Linked DNA regions of Rhinolophus ferrumequinum. The protein of the gene in region 1 purifies or fractionates together with the protein of each later gene. This does not show direct contact. Links are inferred from orthologs where the notes say so. Each region holds a gene or a part of one and is shown in the gene's direction. Other genes may lie near its edges.

Evidence for each region. Proteins that work in one complex are often made in the same cells at the same time.
Region 2: the proteins of ACTR3B (region 1) and ARPC4 purify together in Homo sapiens (affinity purification with mass spectrometry; 5 studies listed by BioGRID and IntAct, counting the BioPlex papers as one, with this or other methods). This does not show direct contact. The link is inferred for Rhinolophus ferrumequinum from reciprocal best matches to the Homo sapiens genes ACTR3B and ARPC4.
Region 3: the proteins of ACTR3B (region 1) and ARPC1B purify together in Homo sapiens (affinity purification with mass spectrometry; 5 studies listed by BioGRID and IntAct, counting the BioPlex papers as one, with this or other methods). This does not show direct contact. The link is inferred for Rhinolophus ferrumequinum from reciprocal best matches to the Homo sapiens genes ACTR3B and ARPC1B.

Annotation. Positions count from the first base shown.
Region 1 is NC_046309.1:2,856,141-2,863,480, reverse strand, and holds the start of ACTR3B (actin-related protein 3B), read left to right. Parts: upstream 1-4,242; 5' UTR 4,243-4,346; coding exon 4,347-4,390; intron 4,391-7,340. UniProt on the Homo sapiens protein: Plays a role in the organization of the actin cytoskeleton.
Region 2 is NC_046300.1:44,117,702-44,124,640, reverse strand, and holds the start of ARPC4 (actin-related protein 2/3 complex subunit 4), read left to right. Parts: upstream 1-3,878; 5' UTR 3,879-3,985; coding exon 3,986-3,988; intron 3,989-6,761; coding exon 6,762-6,880; intron 6,881-6,939. Other genes in the region: TADA3 (transcriptional adapter 3), read right to left, coding at 329-434, 554-804, 2,161-2,367. UniProt on the Homo sapiens protein: Actin-binding component of the Arp2/3 complex, a multiprotein complex that mediates actin polymerization upon stimulation by nucleation-promoting factor (NPF).
Region 3 is NC_046290.1:89,608,340-89,615,787, forward strand, and holds the start of ARPC1B (actin-related protein 2/3 complex subunit 1B), read left to right. Parts: upstream 1-4,387; 5' UTR 4,388-4,523; intron 4,524-7,448. UniProt on the Homo sapiens protein: Component of the Arp2/3 complex, a multiprotein complex that mediates actin polymerization upon stimulation by nucleation-promoting factor (NPF).

The DNA of each region.
Region 1 (7,340 bases):
CTCTCTGAAGGTTTGGGGAAAGTCCCTGAAGGTTTGGGGGAAGGAGGCTGACATGATGTACACACATTCTCTGTTTTGGCAGACACCTCTCAGAGCAGCACTGCTTGCCCCAGAGAAGTCTCAGACAGGCCAAAGCCTGGAGCCAGGGTGGCTGATGGACAGATATGCAGCAGTTCAGTTAAGAGCAGCAGGAAGACAAAAAGCAGGTCTACAGACAAGGGGAGTGGTGGGATGGGGTGAACAGGACGTGGCAGCTGAGTGGTACAGGACACGAGGCCAGAGAGGAGGGGGCGTCCAGGCCAGTGATCGCCCGCCATGGGGGAGGCAGAAACAGAGGACTGTTGATCTGAAGATGGTCAGGTCAACTTACCCACCTTGTGGTTTCGGGTCTGTTACCACCTCTGACACAGTCACCACGGTCTGGCCAATCGGCTGCAGCTGGGACCATTTTCTACCACTCCTGCCAAGACCCCTGGGAGGTCCATTGAGTGCAGTGACAGGCCCTTCCTCTTAAAGGAGAATGCCAGCTACTTTCAAAGGCATGCGGCACTCATTTTTGGGGACTCCTTTCTCTATTTGCATCCTATGGCAACAGAGAACACCCAGATCGCGCTTGGCTCCAGCTCTGTGATTCAAGATTCACAGAGCGGCTGGGTGGGCCGTTTCTGAAGACAGCCTTTCGTTTTGTGTGTTCTTTTTCCTTTTTGGCCCAGCGCAACCAGTTAAGTGCAGGACATTAGGATCACATTGTCCCAGCGCTCACGGACTAAACCCCATTCCATGGACGATCTCCAAGCCCTGATTATTTTATAAAGTAGTCCTCATAGGCATCAAAATGCATCAAAAGGTGTTTACTGAAAGTTCGGCTGAGAGTGGTGCTGGGTTGTGCAGCACTAAGGATAGTAGCTAAGAAAAAGTCACCTCGATGGCCAGAAGAGATGCTGGGTCCTGTACAGGAAGTGTTCTGGTTTCCACGTTTCTGCCTGTTGGGAGGGGAGAGTAGACGGCCATTGTTGGGTAGAAGCACAGTAAAGAGATGCCTTGCTAAAGGAAGCCAACTCAAATGTGCCTCTTGTTCCAAGGAGGGAGAATTTTGCGCAATATATGGGAGGGGGCCAAGCTCCCTTAGCAATGTAATTAATGGCGACTGTACTTACCGTGCTTCTCTCTGGCTGTTCTGCTCTAAGGCACTTGTCAGTGATGCCACCAGTCTCTGATCGATAGGAGTTTACGACCTAAGAAGAATATCACAGAAGAATACGTTGTACCATACAGAAGAACAGCACAAAAAGACAAAAAACGGTAAGAACACTAACACAGGAATGATACATAATATCCACTTGTATTTGCTTAAAATATTCAAGATACCAGATAAAAAAAGCACGTAATAGCAAGTGTGATGTGTAATTGAGAGGTTTAAAGATTGCCTAAAGACTTTCATTTGTTCAATAGCTATTCCTTGAGTGGCTACAGAGAGGCCAGGCAGTGCCCGATGAAGATAAAAAATGTATCCAACAGTTGTACTCTTAGACAGTTCTCATCTTAGTAGACAGTTCTACGCTTCTCCTGGGGTACTGGGGTGATGGAAGTGTGACCATTATGATGCCACCCAATAAGTACAAACGTGGAAGGATTCGCTGGCTCTCTCGGAGCAGAGGAGAGTGACAGTCTTTTGTGAAACTGAGGGACACCTTCACAGAGGTGGCAAAACTCCAGCAGGGGGAAGAGGAAGGTTTGTTTAAACGACAGTTCCAAGCAGAGGCTAGAGGAGTGAAAGGGCATAGAATGAGTGGGAGAAAATGGTTTAAGTAGGAAAATTATGAGTGAGGCAGAAACTATTGGCTGTCATTCCCCTTCCTGCTGATCAAACCCGACTCCAGTCAGGTACTGGCAGCCATATGCTTCAGAGGACACAAGACCCCCGTCCAGCCCGAGGGGGTCACCCTTCATAGTCTAAGCTGATCACAGTACCTCGGTTCCCTTTACCAATGGCTGCTGGTGTTATGAGGTGAACTGTCCCCGAGAAAGACATGTTAAAATCCTAAAACCTGGTATAATAAATGGGATCTGATCTGGTCTTTCTAGGCCTTTGCAGCTGTATTAAATTAAGATGAGGTCATTAAGGTAGCCCTCAATCCAGTAGGACTAGTATCCTTATAAGAAGAGGAGAACGCCACATGAATGCAGACATATGAGCTGGGAGAATAGCCTGTGACGTTGGAAACTGAGATCGGAGCGATGCACCTACCCGCCAACGAACGACAAGGATTATGGACAACCTGCAGAACCTGGGAGAGAGGCATTGTCCCCTGGGGCCTGCAGAGAGGGCAGGGCCCTGCGCACACCTTGATTTTGGCCTTCTACTCTCCAGACCTCTGAGATAGTAAGTGCCATAGTTTAAAGCCGCCCAGTTTGTAGGTAATTGTTACAATTGTTACATTTGCTTTGTTACAGCAGCCCCTATTGGAGCCAGGTGAATGGAGCCAGGTGAATAAGCTAGGGCCTTCTGGGAAAGTTTCCTTCCTCTCTCTCTTAGAAAGGAATCTGACGGGGCATTTCTCCCCCATTTTTGCCCATTGCAGTTGGTGTATGGAGCAGCTGTTGCAGCCATCTCACATCGCCAAGGGGGTAAGTCTGAGGACAACGGCCAATGTGCAAACCTGGTAGAACAAAACGCACAGGCCCACACTGATGACACCTGTGGTTGAGTTACCCTGGAATTTCTGGATTTCCGATCCTATGACATAATAACATTTGCTCATTCCTTGGGCTACCTTAAGTTTTCTGTTACCTGCCTTTGAAAACATCTTAACTGATACCTCTAAAGTTAGGGGTGTCCAGAGGAAGGAATGGAAGTCAGGAAATCTTTTATTTCCTACCAGCTTCTGACCATGGCCAGCACTTCCAATACGTCGTAGGCAGTGGGGACACTCCCCCAAAGGGACTTTCTTTATAATTAGCCCGTCCCAAGTCCCTATAAAGGCTTCTTACCTGGTGAAGTGGGCTGGGCCACCTATGAGTCTCGAGGTCCTCCTGGCCTTTGTACATGTTTCCCACCCAGAGACACGCAACTGCCCCACACTGTCCACCAGGGAGCTCTTCTCTACCCACTCACTGCGGTTCAGCTCAGAGCCCATGGCTTTGGGAAGGCTCCACTGACTGCCATGTCAGGGTTAGGGGCTCTGTGAGTGGTTTTCTGGGTACCCTGGGCTTGGCCATCCAGGCATCACCACACTAGTGCAACTGCCTGTAGACTGTTGCTTTCTCTCACTAGATTCTGACACGTTGAGTATGTATCCTGCTCACCATTTCATGCCCCATCTAACACAAGGCCTTTACTTCTTCTAGGGAAAAAAAAACCACAATGCTTTTAATACTACATAGTTCAGTTACATGAAATGACATCTCCAGAAAGCTCCTACAGGTTAACGTCAAGAATTTATGGAAAAAAAGAATTTACGAGAGGACACACAGCAGGAAGCAAGTGGGACTTTTAGTACCTTTATGACGTGGTAGGTGCTTGACCACTCTGGTCCCTGGTCTCAGTAAGAACTTTGGGATGATTCCATCTTTGATACTTGAAAAGATTTTCCCCGAATATAATGACCTTGATGTGGTGTTAATTCAATCTAAGGACATTCATTCCTTCATGCTGGCCATGCCTTTGTTTTGGATATTTCCTTCTGTTACATAACTTCTGCAGTGTTCTGCTAGGTGTAAGTCTACCAGAGTGTCTTTTCTCTGTATGGCGACGTTTATTCATTCATTCAACAAACATTTGGGTGCTTACCATGTATGCACCAAGTCCCCTGCATACCAGTGCAGTCCTGGGTCACCAATGGTAAGCAAACACGAGCTCTAACCTAGGGGAGCCTATAGTCCAGTGAGGGGACAGACGACAAATAAATAGCGAAGGAAAGCAATAGATTCCTGAGATACAGAGTAAGGTGCGAGGGGACAACTTCCCCGAGGTGACATTCGAGCCCAGACTTACAGGATGAGAAGGAACCAGGGAGACTTACAGATGAGGAGCCAGGCCTCGGAAACCCGGTCACGTTCACGGTAAGTCAGTTAAAAATAGTCCCCAATCTCTTCAAGGTTGGGCGTGTGGGCAAGGAAGCCGCGCCGCCAGCACTAAAGATGGCGGGGCGGGGGCGGGGCCTGGAGTGCCCGCGCCGTGATTGGCCGGATGGAGTGGCGTCACGTGGGCGGCCGCCGAGCATCCGGGCTCCCGCGGCGGCGCTGCGGAGGCTCCCGGGAGCCGGCTGCGCGGGGCAAGCGCGGCGAGCGGACGGCGGCGGGGCCTCCGGGGCCGTCGCGTGGGCCTAGCGGCGCGCGTGCCGAGCATGGCGGGCTGCCTGCCTCCCTGCGTGGTGGACTGCGGCACCGGGTAAGAGCCGCTGGCGCCCAGCCCGCTCCCGCCCCGGCGCCAGGCACCTGCCCCGCGCCCGCCCTCGCTCACCTGGAGGCCGAGCTGCGCCCGCGCGGCTCCCCGTCCCCGCCCCGCTCCTCTAGAGCCGGCAGCGCCGCGCGCCCCGGCCCCTCACCTTGACCGGGGACAGTCGAGGCAGACGTCCCCCGGCTCGCTCGCCTCCCGCACCGCCCTCGCGCCGGGCGGGCGCCCCCTGGCCTCAGCCTCCCGGGGAGGCCGGCGTCCGGCGGGTCGCTGCAGGCGCTGCACGTCGTGTGCCTCCCGCCCACCTCCCGGGGCCCTCGCCGGGCCCCCGCGTGCGTGCCGTGTCCGCCGGCTGAGGGTTCTCGCCCACCGACTTGGGGAGCTTTTCCCATCGTGACCAACTTGACACCTTTTTTGCAGCGCACTCTGCTCTCTCCCGGGACTGAATGGCTCACCCAGGCGACGCCCTCGCTTTAGTCGGTGTAGATTTGCCTTTTCGCTTAAAAAGGTTAAAAAAAAGGGTGGGGGGGGGGAGGGCCCCATTTTGAAACACAGAAAGTTTACATTGGGGAAAGCCTATTTGTGGTGTAGTTTTATTGTCCCTTTACTGTCTGGGTGTGATTTGCTTCTTTTGACGTTAAGATGTGCAGAAGAGACCGTTGGAAATGCCCTGTGCTTGCCGTGGTCCACGCTTAGCTGGTCTTGCGAAGGTGCTTACGGAGCCCGTCTCGCCGGTCGTTTGGAAATGCAAGGTTGCCTGCTTGCTTTCTAGATGAAGTACTGGTTAAAATAGCCTAGAAGTGATGTAGCCTCTTAAAGAGTTTTCAAGACGGGGTTGTAATCACTTCTGTCACAAAATGTTCCATGGCACGTTGCTCTCAGCCTTGATTCTTTTCTATGGAGAAACGCAGTTGGTTTGGTTTCCTTGACAACCTTGTGGGGGTGTCTTCTTTAGTTTGCTGCAGTCCATCTCCTACTGATTCTTTTTTCCTTTTGCTGCTGAAGCCACCGGTAGTGGTTACAGGCTGGAAAAAACACCCACAAAAATAAACTGCCTCTTTGCCTCTATACTAAGCTTTTTGAAATACGCACTGTACCAGAAGTCGTTTTGCTACCCAACATACAAGCCCAAATCAGCGCTGGTATTAACACCCCCAATTGTTAACTCCCTTACGCATCCCCTCCCACAAGCTAGTGTTCACCCCACACCCACTTGAGGTCTGCTTGTGTCAAGACTGAAGGCAACAGGTAAAAGTATTTTTCATTCCCAAAATGATTTTTGCTTTTGTATTTCTGGTCTTGTCAAACTGTTGGAATACAAGGCATGTCTTGGCGATAGGAACACAATAATGCTCACAGAGTTTGTCACCTTTAATATTAGTAAGCCGAGGGCCTAACTCATCATTCTTGCTATAAATATCCAAAATGGGGTGCCCAGTTTTGACCTTCAGAGGTACGTGATAAGAGTAACTTTGCTCTGTCCGAGGTGTAACTTCAGTATGTCATTGTTTTATGGCCCCAAGTCATGTTCTTGTCTCCAAGCTGCCATAGGCTTTGGTGTCAACTTAGAAACAGTGGCACAGAATCTTCCCAGTGGGTCTCACGTGGACATACTCTGTCATGGCAACAACTGGTCACTCATGAAGTCCTAGTGTCCAGTGTATGGCCAGAAGGAGCAGCCTGGAAGAGCCTTAATTTACTGAGAGCATATAAGTAGTTCTTACATTTCCCGGAGAGTTAAAATGGTTTTTGGATTGACTTTTACCTCAAAATAGGATAAAAAGGGGTGACATGCAGATAAAAGCAACCACAGCCAAGGAGAAGAGTGGGCCTGGGGAGTCCCCGAAGCTGTGGGCCGGTGGCTGCTGTAGTTTAGCCTCACATTTGGCCTTCGTCTTCCTGTCTGACAAAATTGTAAGAGCCATCAGCAGTTGTGTAATTCCTGTCATCAGGAAGGGAGAAAAAGGCCCGTTACTCTGGTGAAAGAGCTTTGTGTAGTACTGAATTCTAGAATAAAAATTCACACTGAACTATACATGGTAGACACTAATGATTTATTGGACAGCGTGCTAAAGAGTATTTGTTAGAGCAAAATACATTCCATCCTGGTAGCCTAGCATCCTCTAATAAACCCTGAGACCAGCTCTAACCTACTGAAAAGCTGCAAGAAGTGTACCAAAAAACTATTTGTTCATCCAGTTTCACCAACTATTAACATTTGCTTTATCATTTTCTGTATATCTATATGTATTATTATTTTTCTGAACTGTTTAAGTGTGGTTTTATACCAAAATACTTCAGTGTATACTTTCTGAGAACAAAGAGCTCTCACACAATCACAGGCGAAAGATCGAAATCAGATTTGACATCGTGCGGTAGTGTTCTCTTGTACGCAGTCTGGACTGACACAAATGGCCCCATTTATGTCTTACGGATTCTCACCTCTGCTCCCTCATCTAGCACCACAGACTGTGTTTGCTTGTCATCACGTCTTTGTAGTCTCATTTAACTGGACCAGTTCCTTAGCCTTTTTCTGTCTTTCAAGACATTGACATTTTTGGCAGCCAGTTGTTATGGATAATGTCCCTCAATTTAGGCTCATCGGTGCTTCCTTGTGATAGATATAGGTTATGCATTTTTGTCAGGAATGCCACAGAAGTGACATCAATCCTCCTTAGTGCATCCCGTCAGAAGGCATGTTCTCCCCTCAGTTTTATTGAGATGTAATTGACATGGAACATTGTGTAAGTTTAAGGTATACAATGTGTTGATTTGATACATTTATATGCAAAATGGTTACACATAGTGTCAAGCTAACACTTCCATCACGACACATAATTACTGGTTCTTTTTTGTGGTGAGAACATTTAAGATCTAATCTCTTAGTGACTTTCAAGTACAGTGTTGTTCTCTATAATCACTCTGCTGTCTCCCCAGAACCCCT
Region 2 (6,939 bases), on another chromosome or scaffold:
GCCCCTCTGGAGGCAGGAAAGCATTAAGACGCTGTTTGGGTGAAAGCTGATGAAGTCTTAAACCAAAGTAGAGGGGATGGAGATGTGGGGTCAAGGGGGGACCTCACTGAAATTGAAGCCTTAGGATGGATGTGGTGACCGTTTGGATGGGGCAGAAGGGAGACAATGCAAGGAGAAAGAATGGATGTCTGGGTGGCTTGATGGGGCAGAGAGGAGTCTGGACAGGGTAGGGGAAGTAAGATGACATATGTCTTTGGGATCTTTGATTCTGAGGCACCTTTCAGCCCTCTTGTTCTCCATCATGTCTATCGAGGCTCAGGGTTTCTACCTTGTAATGTTCAGCCTCGTCTTCTGGGGGTTTCAGTAGCTCTTCTAGTGTGCGGACCTCCTCGCTGGTGATGTCAGCGCAGTAAGGCTCCACTGAAGCCCAGAACCTGCAGGGAGAAGCAGATCCTAAGTGGGCACTCCGTGCCCCACCAGCCTCAGCCCTGGGCCCCTCCACAGTCTCCACGGCCCGGATCCCAAGGCCCTTCTATGTTTTATGGCCCAGAACCTGTTGGGGGCATCATTCTTGGGAATCCGAGGCACATCAATTGGGTCATCAGTGAATTCATATTCCTGGATCTTGGGCTGAAGGTTTTTGGATTTGGGTCGCCCGGGGCCAGGGCCTGGCCCATGCCCTGCCTTCCCTTCCAGTTTCTGCTTCTTGGGCTTCCCATGTTTGGGGGGAGCCCCAAGCTCATGGTCTCGACCCAGCTTCAGGAATCGACGGTCACCTTTCTTATCCTGCCAGTCAGTGAGGATCTGAAATTCAGAGAGACTGTTAATGAGGGAGGGAAGGGAAGACAGAGGACAACTGTTTCCCCCAGTGAAGAATCAGGATCTAGAACTTGAGGAGGCGCTAAAGTCTTTCCCCACCCCCTTTTTATTTAGCAGACTCCTACTCATCCTTTAAAACCCAGCTCCTTTTCTGTGTCCATCTTACAGGATTTTACTCAGATACTTCTCATCATTCCATTCATTTTGTCTGTATTCTGATTCACCTCGGTGGTGTTTAGTAGCAAGGCCAAACAAGTGATCACACCCCAGTGCATGCTAGGTCTGGGAAAATATGCTGGTGGAAACTTTTTGGTGAAGGCAAGCAAGCCTCCCAGCAAACCTTCATTTTGAAAGTCACAACTGGGAAGCCTTCTTCACATCAGTTACCTGATGCTTAGACACTAAAATACAACGGGTTGTGCCACAACCCTGTTCAAAAAGCTTCAGTGGATTCTCAGGGACCACAAGTCAACGCTCTTCATACTTCAAAGTCCAGTTGAAATGGCATCTTCTTCCTCTATGAGTCCCTGGCACTTTGCACCTTCACTGTAGGCCCAAACATCTTGTTTGGACATACTAAAATGCACAGCATACTTTATCTTTTTGACTAGATTATAAGCTGCTGGAGACCAGGAAGCTCATCTTAACCAGTTGTCCCCCAGGATCTGGCATAGCACCTGGCACACAGGCCCCAGAGGATGTTTATGCAGTGAAGAGAGATGAGAGTAGTGCCAATGACTAACATTTAAAATGCTGACTTAGTGTCAGAAACTGGGCTCAGACTTCGCAAAAAAAAACCGAAACAAAAAACCTCTCTTAATCCTCACAAATCCTCTTTGGTACGTCCTATTATTCGGCACAGTTTGCAGACAGGAAACATGCTCAGAAATAGGAAGTAATCTTCCCAAAGTCACAGAGCTAGGAAACTAACACTAACTAGTGCTTAGTCCAGGATTCAAATCCTCTCCTCATTCCAGTTCCCCTATTCCCCCTAACCATAACACATCACCTGGTACTTGTCTAACCAGCCCCCCACCACTTATAGTTAGCAAACTCCCTGAAGGCCAGAATTGTCTTAATTATCTTTCTCTAATGACTTGCACAGGACCCAGAACATAAGGGGTGGGTCGGGGGCGGGAGGGCTGTGTTGTCAATAAATGCTTAGAAATCTTGCAGTTTATGGAGATCACACATGTTCTTGCTTATTTTGTGTCCCTAGAACCCAATTTGTCCCCCCTGCAACCTCCTGTACCCCAGGCCTTAGCAGATGGGACGAACTCAATGAGCCATCCCATAACTTATCAGTCTACCCCTGGTGACGTCGTCTCTGTAGGGTATCACCTGAGTTTCGGCCTCCAGCACCCGCAGGCGCCGGCTGGCAGAGGAAAGCAGGGTTTCAAGCTCTAACTGCAGAGTGTCCAGCTCCTCAATGCCGATGCCATCATCCTCAGAGCGGGCCAGCACTGCTGTGTAGCGTGGACAGACTTTCAGGTGGTCCACAGACTTGAAGTCGTGGAACTGCAAGGGGCAGTCCTTCAGCTCACTCATGGCCCAGGATACCCTGCGGAGCTGAAAAGGAGAGGGACATTGATGGGAGGTAAAGTGGCACAAGGAAAGCCCAAGGGTTCCCTCCATCCAGGAACAGCCTCAAGGAGAAAGCCCGACTTCAGTACCCTATTGACAAGACTGATGGCACTGCTATTACTCCGAGAGCACCCACTGTGCACCAAGCAAGGTGCAGACATCTTACCAGCTTTTCACTGATTCCTCACCCTCTGAGCAGGGACCATGGTGCTCTTCATTTTACAGATAAGGAAACTGAGACTTTGTAAGGGTGGGTACATGCCCAAGCTTACCAAGACTTTGAATCCAGGTATTTCTGAGTCTGAGCCCCTCACTACCATGATACACTATGCCACGTCTTCCTGATGCTCTTTTCTTTTGTTGTTCTTCTCGTGAGTTCTGCTAAGCCTCTGAGCTCCAAGCATCCCATTCTCAATTGTGCCTCCCTGCTTCACCTTGTCTCACTCCTTCCCACTTTGCCGGTTATTTTTGCCCGACAGTGGTTAAGAATGTGATATGGTAAGCCAGACATACCTGGGTCCAAGCCCAAACTTTGCCGTTCTCTATGTATGTGGCCCTGAATATGCCATTTAACTTTCCTGAGTCTCGGTTTTTCCAACTGCAAAATGGGGACAAAGTAGTGTGGGTCTGTTTCCCCATAAGAAGTCTGAATCTGTAAAATGGGGATAATAATGGTACCTACCTCCCCCGGATGTTCTGAGGATTAAAAGATGATGCTCGTCAAGAGCCCAGTTCAGTGCCTGGCACAGAAGTGGGACTGCTTAACGGCTGGCTCCACCCGTGGGTCGCCCCAATGCCCCGCCTTCAGGGTCCCCGTCCACTCGAGACCCCTAACGCGGCTCCTGCCCCCTCTACCTCCACACTCTGGCCTCCTACGGCCCCCGGGCCGCGAGAGGGGGTGGGGAGTTCCGGTTGGTCGGATCTACCGCTCGCAACTGGCTATGGGCGGGGCCCCTGCAGTTGACGCGGGGGCGGAGAAACGCGAGGGAGAGCTCACGGTGCCTTGCGGGGGAGGGTTTGCGGGCCGTGAGCTGGACCACTGCAATTGGGGTGGGGGTTACGCCGCGGGTACCCGAGGGAACAGCCAAGGGCTGGAGGGCGGGGCTCGGCAGCCGGGTTTTCGGTCAGGCATTTAGTTCCGCCGAGCCCCAGAGGCAGCCGGTAGGAGGGGCTCGGGGGAAGGATGGGGGCGCAGAACCGGAAGGAACGCAGGGCTCCTCCGCCTCGCCTTGTCCAAATATGGTGCCCAACCTTCGGCCGGGCGGCACCATTGCATGACTATGGGGAAAGAAAGCGGCAAATAGGACAAGAAAGCCAAAGTCACAAGCGAGAGCTGCATGGATAACGGGAGAAGCTTGAGTACCGACCTGAAATTGCAGCAGTCTAAAGATACCAAGGCAGTCCTAGCGGGAAAACTTCCAAGGGACCCAGCGTTCCGAGGCTCTCCTCACCCTGCTCGGAGCACAGATGGTACTGTCCGGAAGTCCGGGCGGAGACTGCGGCTGCGCTTCTCGCGAAAGGGCAGGCGTCGCGGGCCTGGCCACTTCCGTACTTCCGCTTTCCGGCCCAGCCAGCGCCCGCGATGGTGAGAGAGCCGGGCCCCGGGCCAGGGACCCCCCCCCCCATTCTGTCTCAGAGTTGTGGGTCTGGGGGAGATACGGCTTTGCAGCGGAGAGGCCTGGGGCCGAGGGATGCTGGGGAGTTGGGGGCACGATGAGGCTCGGAGAAAGAAGGCGGGGTGGGGGTCGAAGGGAGGAAGGGGCGAGCGGGGAACGCCCTCGTAAGAAGTAGGCATGGTGACTTCACAGTCTGTCTTTGGAGACAGGTAGGGAATACCTGAGGCATGGAGGAAGCCGGAAGTGAGACCTCCTAGGCTCGTAGTAGCTAGCGCTCAGGTGGTAGGGCTACCTCCCCACCCGGAATAGAACTTCACTAAATGCACTGCTCTGTTTTCTCCTGCCCGCCAGACTCTCTAGTTTCCCCAGGGAAGCGTCTACACTTCCATATCCCACTCTTCTCCTTACCCCCTACCTTGATTCTACCGTACTGAAGGATTTCTTAAGCTGCCTCCACCCGAGCCCCTTCCTGGTCAGAACAAAAACGTTGTTGCCTTACTGTAAGATCTGATACTGCTGATCTCTCTCCCTGGAAATCCTCCTGTTTGATAAATGTGTACGTTCCTGGGAGTAATGTACCTGTCTAGTCCCTTGGCTTTGATGACCTTGTGTATTCTGGTGTCTCCCAAGGTTTGCCTGGATATCTTGAAGATACTTTGACATTAAACCTCCAGATCAAAACTCCTCTTTTCTCCTAAACTCGCTCTTCCTTCTTTGTTTCTTAAATTGGCCATACCTCTTGATTTTTTAAAAATCAGGTTTATTGAGGTATTGCATGAGACTGTTTTATTTGTGAAAGGGCAGGTGTCATGGGGCTGGCCACCTAAAATTCACCCTTTTCCGGTTTATCATCTATGAATTTTGACACACACAATCACGTAACCACTACCATCAAGGCACAGAACATTCCCATCACCTCAAAATGTTCCCGCCAGTCCCTTTGTAATCAGGCCTCCTCCTCTTTCCCCGACCCCAGGCAACCACTGATTTTAACCCCCCAATAATTTTGCCTTTTCCATATTGTAATATAAATGGAATTGTCAGTATGTAGGCTTTTGAATGTGGCTTCTTACCATAGTGCATTTGAGATTCATCCGTGTTGTATCAGTAGTTACTCCTTTTCATTTCTGAGTAGTATTTAATTGTATCAATGGAGCGTAGTTTGTTGGGAGGTGTTTTAATTCCATGATTATCTACATCTTACGTTATAGTCTAACCATGTTGTAGTCTAACCGCTGTGATACTTATGTTATAGTCTAATCGCTGGCATACTTATGTTACAGTCTAACTGCTGTGATACTTATGTTACAGTTGAATTGCTCTGATACTTATGTTATAGTCGAACTGCTGTGCTTTTCCTCTCTAAGGCCCCAGTCTAGGCTCTCATCAGTACTCCTTGAATAACTCTCTCTGCCTTATGTCTTACTTCCCTCTCCAATCCATTCTCCACAGAGCCCCCCTGCAGCTGTGGTCCTATAACTTCCCCCTCAGAAAGTCCCAGCAGTTCTTTACCACCTTAAAAGAAAAGCTAAACTCAGTAGCCTGGCATTTGAGATTCCCCATGAATCTCCAGACTACCACTGCAGCCTTGTTTACTAAATCTAAAATATGTTTCCTACAGCAACATTGTACTCATTATTACTTCTGGAACTCTTAATGCCCTTTTGTGTTAATCCTAACCTTGCTTAAGTTACAGCTTTCATTCATTCATTTATTCTACAGAAAATGAATGACACTATATAGGTTAGGTACTAACTGAGCTAGGAGCAGGATATGTAGATTTGAATAAAATAGACGCGGTCTATTGACCCTGAGGCTTGCAGTCTAGTGAAAGAGAAATCGCTTTACTAAAGATGTTTGAAGGATGTATCATTGTAAATTACAAGAACTGTTACTAAGGGGAAGTCAAGAAAGACTTCTCTGAGGAAGGAAGAGGCTGTCCCTGAATAAACCAAGATCTGAAGGATGACTTAGGCGACAAGAGGGTAGAAAAGCCTGCAGATAGATAGTTCAGCAAGTGTGAAACTCTGAGGGGAAAAAGAACTTGGCGAATGTAAGGAAATGAAGATGAGTTAGAGTAGCTAGAAGCTGATCCTTCTAGTGGGAATGCCCTTACTCTTTTTTTCTCATTCTAAAGTACTCCTAATTGTATTTCCATCTTCAAATCAAAGCCAATTGCTTCTGCAAATATAACTTGTAAATCTAATTCAGTTATTCTTCTTTGTATCATAGTCTCTCCCCGCATTGAGCTGTTTAAGGGTAGAGATGGTCTTAATCATTGAATTCCCAGCCCCTAGCTCAGTGCCTGGCACATAGTAGATTTATCCATTTGTTGGCTCAAAAGACAGATTGAGGACAATCATTCATTTACCTGTATGCTTCTAGACCGGAGTTTCTCAACCTCGGCACTATTTGGGGCTGAACAACTCTTTGTTGTGCATTGTAGAAGGTTTAGCAGTTTGCCCAGCCTCTTTCTACTCAATGCCAGTAGCACCCCCATCTCAAGTCATGTCGGTAAAAAATGTTTTAACATTGCCGAATGTCCCCTGGCAGGCAGAATGGTCCCCTGTTGAGAACCACTGCTCCAGACTTAGACTGGAAGGCACCTTGAAGGCTTAGTCTGTTCTTCGGTGTCTGAGAATCCAGCACCCTCAGTACTGCCTGGCTCCTGTGTAGCTGGAGCAGGGGACCAGTGTGTTTGGTGAGACAGATTCTGATCCTCCTTTGGGGTTTTTCCTACAGACTGCCACTCTCCGCCCCTACCTGAGTGCCGTGCGGGCCACACTGCAGGCTGCCCTCTGCCTGGAGAATTTCTCCTCCCAGGTCGTGGAACGACACAACAAGCCGGAGGTGGAAGTCAGGTAGGGAAGGAAAAGTTCAGGGTAGGGGTGATAGGTACAGCCCCAGAGGTGGCTGTTGT
Region 3 (7,448 bases), on another chromosome or scaffold:
AAACGGGGGTCAGTCTCAGAACCCAGATTAATTGGATGACTCCAGTTTGCCCAACAATCATCATGCAAGTGTTTTAGTTCCCATGTTCCTCCAAGTCTGGAGGCAATGATGTGAAGGCCCAGAGTTCCCCCAGGTACGTGCAGTAGCTGTGGCAATAAAGCTACCCCTGTGGAATAAACAGTACAGATCCGTATATGAGTTCCAAGGTTATGTTGTTTAAGTTGTATGTGTGTAATTTAAATACTGTGTTTCCCCGCAAATAAGACCTAGCCGGACAGTCAGCTCTAATGAGTCTTTTGGAGCAAAAATTAATACAAGACCCAGTTTTATAAGACCAGATATAATATAATAGTATAAGACCGGGGCTTATATTAATTTTTGCTCCAAAAGACACATTAGAGCTGATGGTCCGGCGAGGTCTTGTTTTCGGGGAAACAGTACTAGGAGTGGTAGGTGGAATAATGCCCCCCACCCCCAAAGGTGTCTGTGTCCTAATTCCCAGACCTGTTTACTCTGCAGATGAGATTAAATCAAAGATTTTGAGATCAGAGTATGCTGGGTGAGCCTGGTGGGCCCCTGGGTTGGAGTGTCACAAGGCCATGGAACCCAGGAACCTGGTAGCCTCTGAAAACTGGGAATGACAAGGAAACAGGTTCTCTCTTGTTGCCCGCCCACTGAGGCTGGTTGTGGACTCCCACCTCCAGACCTGTACAAGAATCCATGTGTGGTGTTTGCAGCCACCCTGTTTGCGGAAATGGCTACAGCAGCGCTAGGAAACAAACTGACGTCAGTTCAGAGATGGGAAGGAAACACGGTCTAGAGCAGTGTTTTGCACTGACAGAGCCCATTAGTGGTTGTAAAAATCAATTTTTACATTGGAGGTCATGACTAGCATTTAAAAAATGAAACAGAAAATAACAGATTTTGCATTGCATGTAGTAAGAGTATTGGGGGTTGTACTAGGTCACAATATATACCATTTTTCCCCAAAAATAAGACTGGGTCTTATATTAATTTTTGCTCCAAAAGACGCGTTAGGGCTTATTTTCCGGTTAGGTCTTGTTTTCGGGGAAACAGTATCACTGGGTCATGAGCAAAAAGGTTTGAGAACCACTGGTTCCTGAAGGAAGGGTGCTTTCTCCTTACCTTGATACATTACCATAAGAATAGCTAAGTGCCAGGTGACAAAGTAAGCACTCTGCTAGGCTATAACCGCCTACAGCAACCCTATACTGTGGGAAGTGTTACTGCCACGTTTGATGACAAAACTCCAAGTCCAGAGGGGGGGGTGACAGCTCACGTTGAAACTATGACAATGTCCAGAGCCCAGCAGTTCCTGCCAAACGTGCTCCTATTGGGCAAGGGCAGGGAGTGGAGCTGCTGTAGTGACCGAACCCAGTTCGTTTCGCCAAGCTCAGGATGTCGTTGGAATAGATGGGAGGGGACCCTCTGTACCTTGTGAGGTTTCATTGTACACCTGAGTTTCTCAATTGAACTGACTCACAAAGCCATGTGGCTTGGAAGGGGGTCTGCTACAAGTGCCCCCCCAATTAGGAGGCCCGCCCCTGGAGCAGGGCCGGAGTGTGGAATGCTGAGTGTTCTGGGCCTCAGCCGCGGTGGACATCTGCCCTCGCGGGCTTTGGCTACTACCTCACATGTATGTGTGGCCTGGGGAAGGAGGTACAAGGTTTCTCCTCTTCCTTCCTGCTCCCAGGGATGGGGCGAGGGCAGTCCCTTGATGTCAGGGAGAAAGCTCTATGGTCCCCATTGCGGGTGGGCCTGCATGCTGAGACAGAAGGAGATCATGCTGAGCTCATTACCAACCCTGGTGTCCACTGCCTTGGCTAGCCCACGGCGTCCTGAGTCCAGATGTCTGGAGCTAGGCTGCCCTCTTGTGACCAGGAGACAGTAAGGCCAGTGTGGTGAGGAGAAAGCAGCAGAAAGCCCGCGAACCCTGATGACCTGGAGACATTGCACCAGTGCCCTCCACTGAGTGCCCTCCAAGGTGGCCAACTCTGAAGCCTGGGTGTGTGGCTGCATTTCTCGGGTACCTGAGAAGGCGGAAAAGAAAGGAGTGCAGCATCTCCATCCCATGGCACTGCAGGGGGAAGCAGATTCCAGGAAGAAACAGAAAACTCTCAAGTTCTCAGAACTCCAAATGAAATTCTTCCACCCCCAGTTTCCCCTTGCCCAAGGAGTGGCTTCACTTAGGCTTAGAAAACTTTGTCCCCCAACGGAACCATTTCAGACAACAGCCCTGTCGGTTCCCAGTTTGAGCTGTGCTTCCCCATCCATTGGGGCTTCCTTCCCATAATGGACCACAGTGCGGCCTGTGAGAGGACAGCAATGCTTGTTAGGAGTCAGCCTCACTCTACAGATGCAGAAACCATCTGTAAAGCACTAAAGGAGAGTGACTTGCCTGAAGCTACACAAGTGAAGCTTGGGTTCAGTTTTCTAATTTGTACACTTATTCATTCATCATTCAACAGATGCGCATTCAGTGGCTCCTATGTGCCAGGCGCCGTCCGGACAGGGGAGAGCAGAGTGAGCGATATAAACACGGTTTCTGCTCGCACTAAGCTTAGGAGTCATCTTTTCATCAAAGCAGGCTGCTTCAGTTCAGTTTTCACAGTGAGGAAAAGGGAGTCCTCTGGGGTGCGTATTTGTTAGGATGCTTTCAGTGATGAGTATCAGAAAAACAAACCAGCTTAAAAGTAGTCTCCTTGGCTCACATATCGGAAAGCTCTGGAGGCAGGTTAAGTGCAGGCTGACCAGTCAGAGATTGACCAGGACTCTGGTCGTTTCTGTGGGATTCTCTCCATCTGAGCTCTAACCCAGTCGTCAGGGTTCCCTTGTGGCTGTTCAACTTTAGTGTTCAGATTCATGCAGCTCACTCAAGAGGGGCTTCTTTCCCCTCCCTTGTCATCCAAAGTCCTGGGCTTTGCTTTGACCTGGCCATCTGAAGTCACAAGCCTAGGATAGCACACCAGGAACTGAGTGGGTAGAGCACTCAGGGCCCACACCAGAGGTGGGGTTTAGTCCCACCTGGGCATGTACAAAGCTGTGGAGGGATGGAACAGAAGCCAGGGACACACAGCTGTCCCCCCACAACTTCACCTGTCCCCACAGGAAGGGGGTTGCCGGTACAGACCATCTTAAACTTTTCTAGTTAGACTAAAGCCATCACAGAGTGCCAAGGCTAGATGGGGGGGACCCCGGTAACAGCCCCTCACTGTCTCCTGAGAGCCAGGAAGGCTCAGGATCATACAAATCTTAGCTAAAGTATACTGAGCACTAAATCAGTGCTCGCTCCTGGAGGTGCTCCCCATGTTTGGACACATTTAATCCTCCCAACCACGCTGTAGGAGTGAAATGCAGTGCAACAGGAGCTGGGACCGGGAACAAAGGATCTTGTGGGGAGTCCAGTGGACACATCTAATGGAAAGGGGGTCAAGGACCAAGTGATCTGAGATACTCAGCTGCGTCCTGCAGGATCAACTGAAGTGGGTGAGGTGAGGACAGGGTGGGAAAAGTGTTCTAGGCAGAAAGAACAGTACCTGTCACAGCCCCTACACCCGATAGGCTGGGAATCTAGCCAGGGACCTCCTGAGCCCCTGAAGCCCTCTCCTTCCCCTCTCCCACTGCTGCCTGCTGCTGCCTGGCTGATTTGGGGTGAGATGAGTCAGTCCTAGGAAGAGGGGCCTGACGAATTGAGAGGGTGCAGGGTGTTCACCAGGGCCTCCTTCGTGTGCCAGGCCACCTGGCCACATCTTCATCAATGAGGCAGAGGGTAGAGATGGAAAGATCCCAGGGGCCACTTGAGCCAAGACCCAAATTCAGGTGGCGGCATGGCTGCCAGATATGAAAGAAGTGAAGCAGTCTGCAGTGGAACCAAAGGTCATAAAGTCAGCATTGAGAGAACATGCTGGAACAGCCAGAGTCAGCTGAGGCGCTGGTGTGCACTCCTGACCAGGGCCAGCACCCCAGTTTTGTAGTGAGGATGGGAAGGGTTGGGAGGGCTGGACTGGCTGCCTTGTCGACACCGTACTGCACTTTTGTCGCCCAGCAGGCATCAGTTAGTGAAGTACCCGTGATGGTACCCGTGAGCTGGGGACAGAGGCCTGCAGAGGTTCCCTAAGTTGCTGGGTCACCAGCACCAGCGTGTGAACGTAGAGCCCGTCCTGCTCTCGGTGGGGTGGGGTGGGGGACATGCACACTGCCAGACTCCGGGTACCCGCCGGCTGTGCTCAGGCTGCGCACCCCTTTCTAAGCCTCAGTCTCCCCGTCCATAAAGTAGTGAGGGGCGGTCGTGGATGATTTCTGGGCTCCCTGGGTCGGTGCAGACCCGAAACCCGGAGGGTTGGGCGGGGCCTTGGATTTCCGGACGGTCCCTGGTCCCCGCCCCCATCCCCTTGGGGCTGAGGCTGCGAAGCGCCGCCCCACGCCCACGAGGAAGTGGCTGCGAGTCCCAGAGCCGGTTCGGCGCGTCGACTGCCCAGAGTCCGCTGCCGGGGCGCCCCGAGGTGAGGAGGCGCGGGGGTTTGGTGGCTCGGAGGTGGAGGGCCGGGGGTCTGCCTAGATGTGAGGGGAGTTTGGGTGGATACGGGGATGAGAGGGGCGCGGGGAGGGGAGCCTGAAGGGGAGGAGCGGGGGAAAACCTGCCGGGAGATCTGGGGGCGTCCGGAGGGGAAGGGGGTACCCAGTAGTGAGGGGGTACGCGGGGGCGGAAGCTCCCCAGGAGGTGAGTGGGGAGCGGGCGGCAGGCCGGCCGAAGAGTGGGCAGCGCAGGGCTCCCCGCACCCGGCGCCCTCGGGGCGGCGAGATCCCTGGCCCACGTTTCCCCCTCGTCCCCTCCCTTGCTTCCCCACTTCCCTGACTTTTCCCCACGGTCGGTGTCCCCGTTATTTCAGGCAGCGAGGGCCCCACGCCCAGTCACTTCCCCCAATCCTCCAACCTTCCGGGTTGCTCCAGCGGGAAATGAGCTGGCGCCCCCGCCCCGCCCCTCTCTCCTCCCGGCCGCCCCCTCCCGGCCCCGGGAGCCAGGTCCGAGGCGTCCTGTACCGGCTGAGCTGGACCCGAGCGGATCCGATCCGAGTGGCCCCTCCCCTGCCGGCAGCAGCTGGGAAAACAGCCAGGACACCCAGACGAGGCAGGGCCGGGACCGCGGGCAGTAACTGTAATACAGTAATGAGTAGCGTGAAGCAGCAGGAGAGCTGGAGGCTCTCCCCAGCTTATTCCAGGCTGTCCCCAGGCTCCTCCCGCCGGGCACCCGGCGCGGTGCTGCCCGATGTTTAAGAGCACCCATCACCTGTGAGTCCTCGGGGCCCTAATACGAGTGCCAGCTTCTGCTTTCACTGGCTGATGACCTTAGCAAACCACCTCATCTCTCTGGGCCCCAACTTACTTGCCTTATCTGGAAAATCGGGAACTTTCAAGTTGTGAGACATAAATATGATAATATGTATAAGGAACTTGGCAATATGCCAGGCACGCACAGTATAAGTGTGTGCTGCTATTGTCACTGTTATTATAAGGCTTGCCTATGTTTATCAAAGTGGCTGTCCAGGTGAACCTGTACTCTTAAGATTTGGGGTCAGAATGTGCTGTGCTTTTTAAGAGCTGTGTGACTGAGCAAATCTTGGCTTTTGTGTAAGTCTCAGTTTCCTTCTGTACAAAACAAAGGTTAAAAAAAAACAAACACCAAAAAACTTCTTAGGCTTGCTTTAGGGGTTAAAGAATGTACGTCAACGTCCTGGGTAAATCCTGGGCACTTAGAGATGCCAAGAAAAGTTAGTTTATTACATATGTGTTTGTATGTAATCCACATAGGTTTTTTCCTAATAAATAGTATCCCAATGTGTTAATATCACATGTACTCTTTCCATATCTCTAGTCATCTGGATTTTTTTATCCTGTCACCATTATAAAGAGGATTATTTTGGACATATTTGCTTTTTTAAAAGTCAGTGGCTGTTTTCTTAGCACAAAAATGACTTTATGCCACCAGTGTTAACAATCTTAAATTCCTGTTTGTGTTATTCTGTTCTGTTTGTTCCTACCCAGTTGTTGAGCGTTATCACATTGCTCTTCAGAAAGGCTGAACAAATTATTAATAGCAACAAATGAGAATTTCTCTACAGTCCTGCCAGCATTGAGTTTTGTGTGGCTTTGGTTTTTGTTTTATTTGGATTACTTTAACTGGAGCTTTATGGTGCCTTGTGATCGTTTTCGTTTGTGTTTCTTGACTTTGCCTGCTTTTTAAGACCTTAAGAGCAGATTTGGGGAGAAGGGATTGATTGGCTGGGTTTTTTGGGGTGGCAAGGGCTGTTCTACACATAACAGGAAATTGAGTAACTGCTTAGCAGGCTGCAAAATGGCTCACTAGCAGCTCCCTCTAGCCAAACTCTGAGCTGGGTGGGGACTTCCCTATATGCCTGTGGAGCCGAAATCCTTGCCTCCAGGCAGCTCCTGCCTGGATTAACCTCAAATACAGCCAAACCTCTGGATTCAGGGAAGGCTAGTAAAGCTTGTCTGAAAGGATGAAAAATCCTACAGCCGGTGCCTCATCCAGCCCCAGCCTTTTTTGAACGGAGATGTGAAGAAGCATTGTATGAGGGCACCAGCCAGTACAATGAACGCAGCACTGTAAGGAAGGAGTGCTGAGGCATGAGACCCTTGGCCGGGCAGCCTGAGGCTTCGCCTAGCTTGCTTTGCTTTGGAGAGGAGCTATATTCTCCCTGAATCCTCAGAGGACCCTCTAGATTGCAGGTTTCCAGGATTTTCTAATCATTGACCCTATCAGGAAAAAAATTTGAGCACATGCTCCCCAGCAAATATTTACAAATTTCATCCATATGCCACTGAAGTAATATGGCATATCCGTTATAGAACATCCCCTAAGACAGATATGAAAGAAAGGATGTGAATCGTTCATTCAGCCACATTCAAGAAATATTTATTGAGCATCTACTATGTGCCAGGTACTATAATTGGTGGTGGGGATACATCAGTGAACAAATACCCCTGTCCCCCTGGGGCTTACGTACATACCCCAGGGTGTCGTCTTTGGCACCCCTTGATGGAGACCCACACCCCACTTTGAAGAGCTATACCCCCTCCCAACCCTCATGCCACGCTTCTCTGCCCTCAAACCCCCAGCTGTGGATGCTTCCCCAGTCTGGAAAGTACTGCTGGGACCACAGAAAGATGCTGGCTCCAGTCTAGGGGGATAGGGAATCTCTCAGAGTTTGGCCGATGCTCGCCCAGCCTCACTCAGTTTCAGGAGTGATGGGAGACACTGAGCACTTCATGTGAATCCCACGTCCCAACGCCATCCTCAGGTCCCCCTCCTGTCTGTCTTCAACGGTCACATGGGCCCACAGAATGCTGGCTCACAGGGCCATGGTGACAAGTGCATGGGTGCCCCAGAGGCCAGAGCCTCGGCCTGC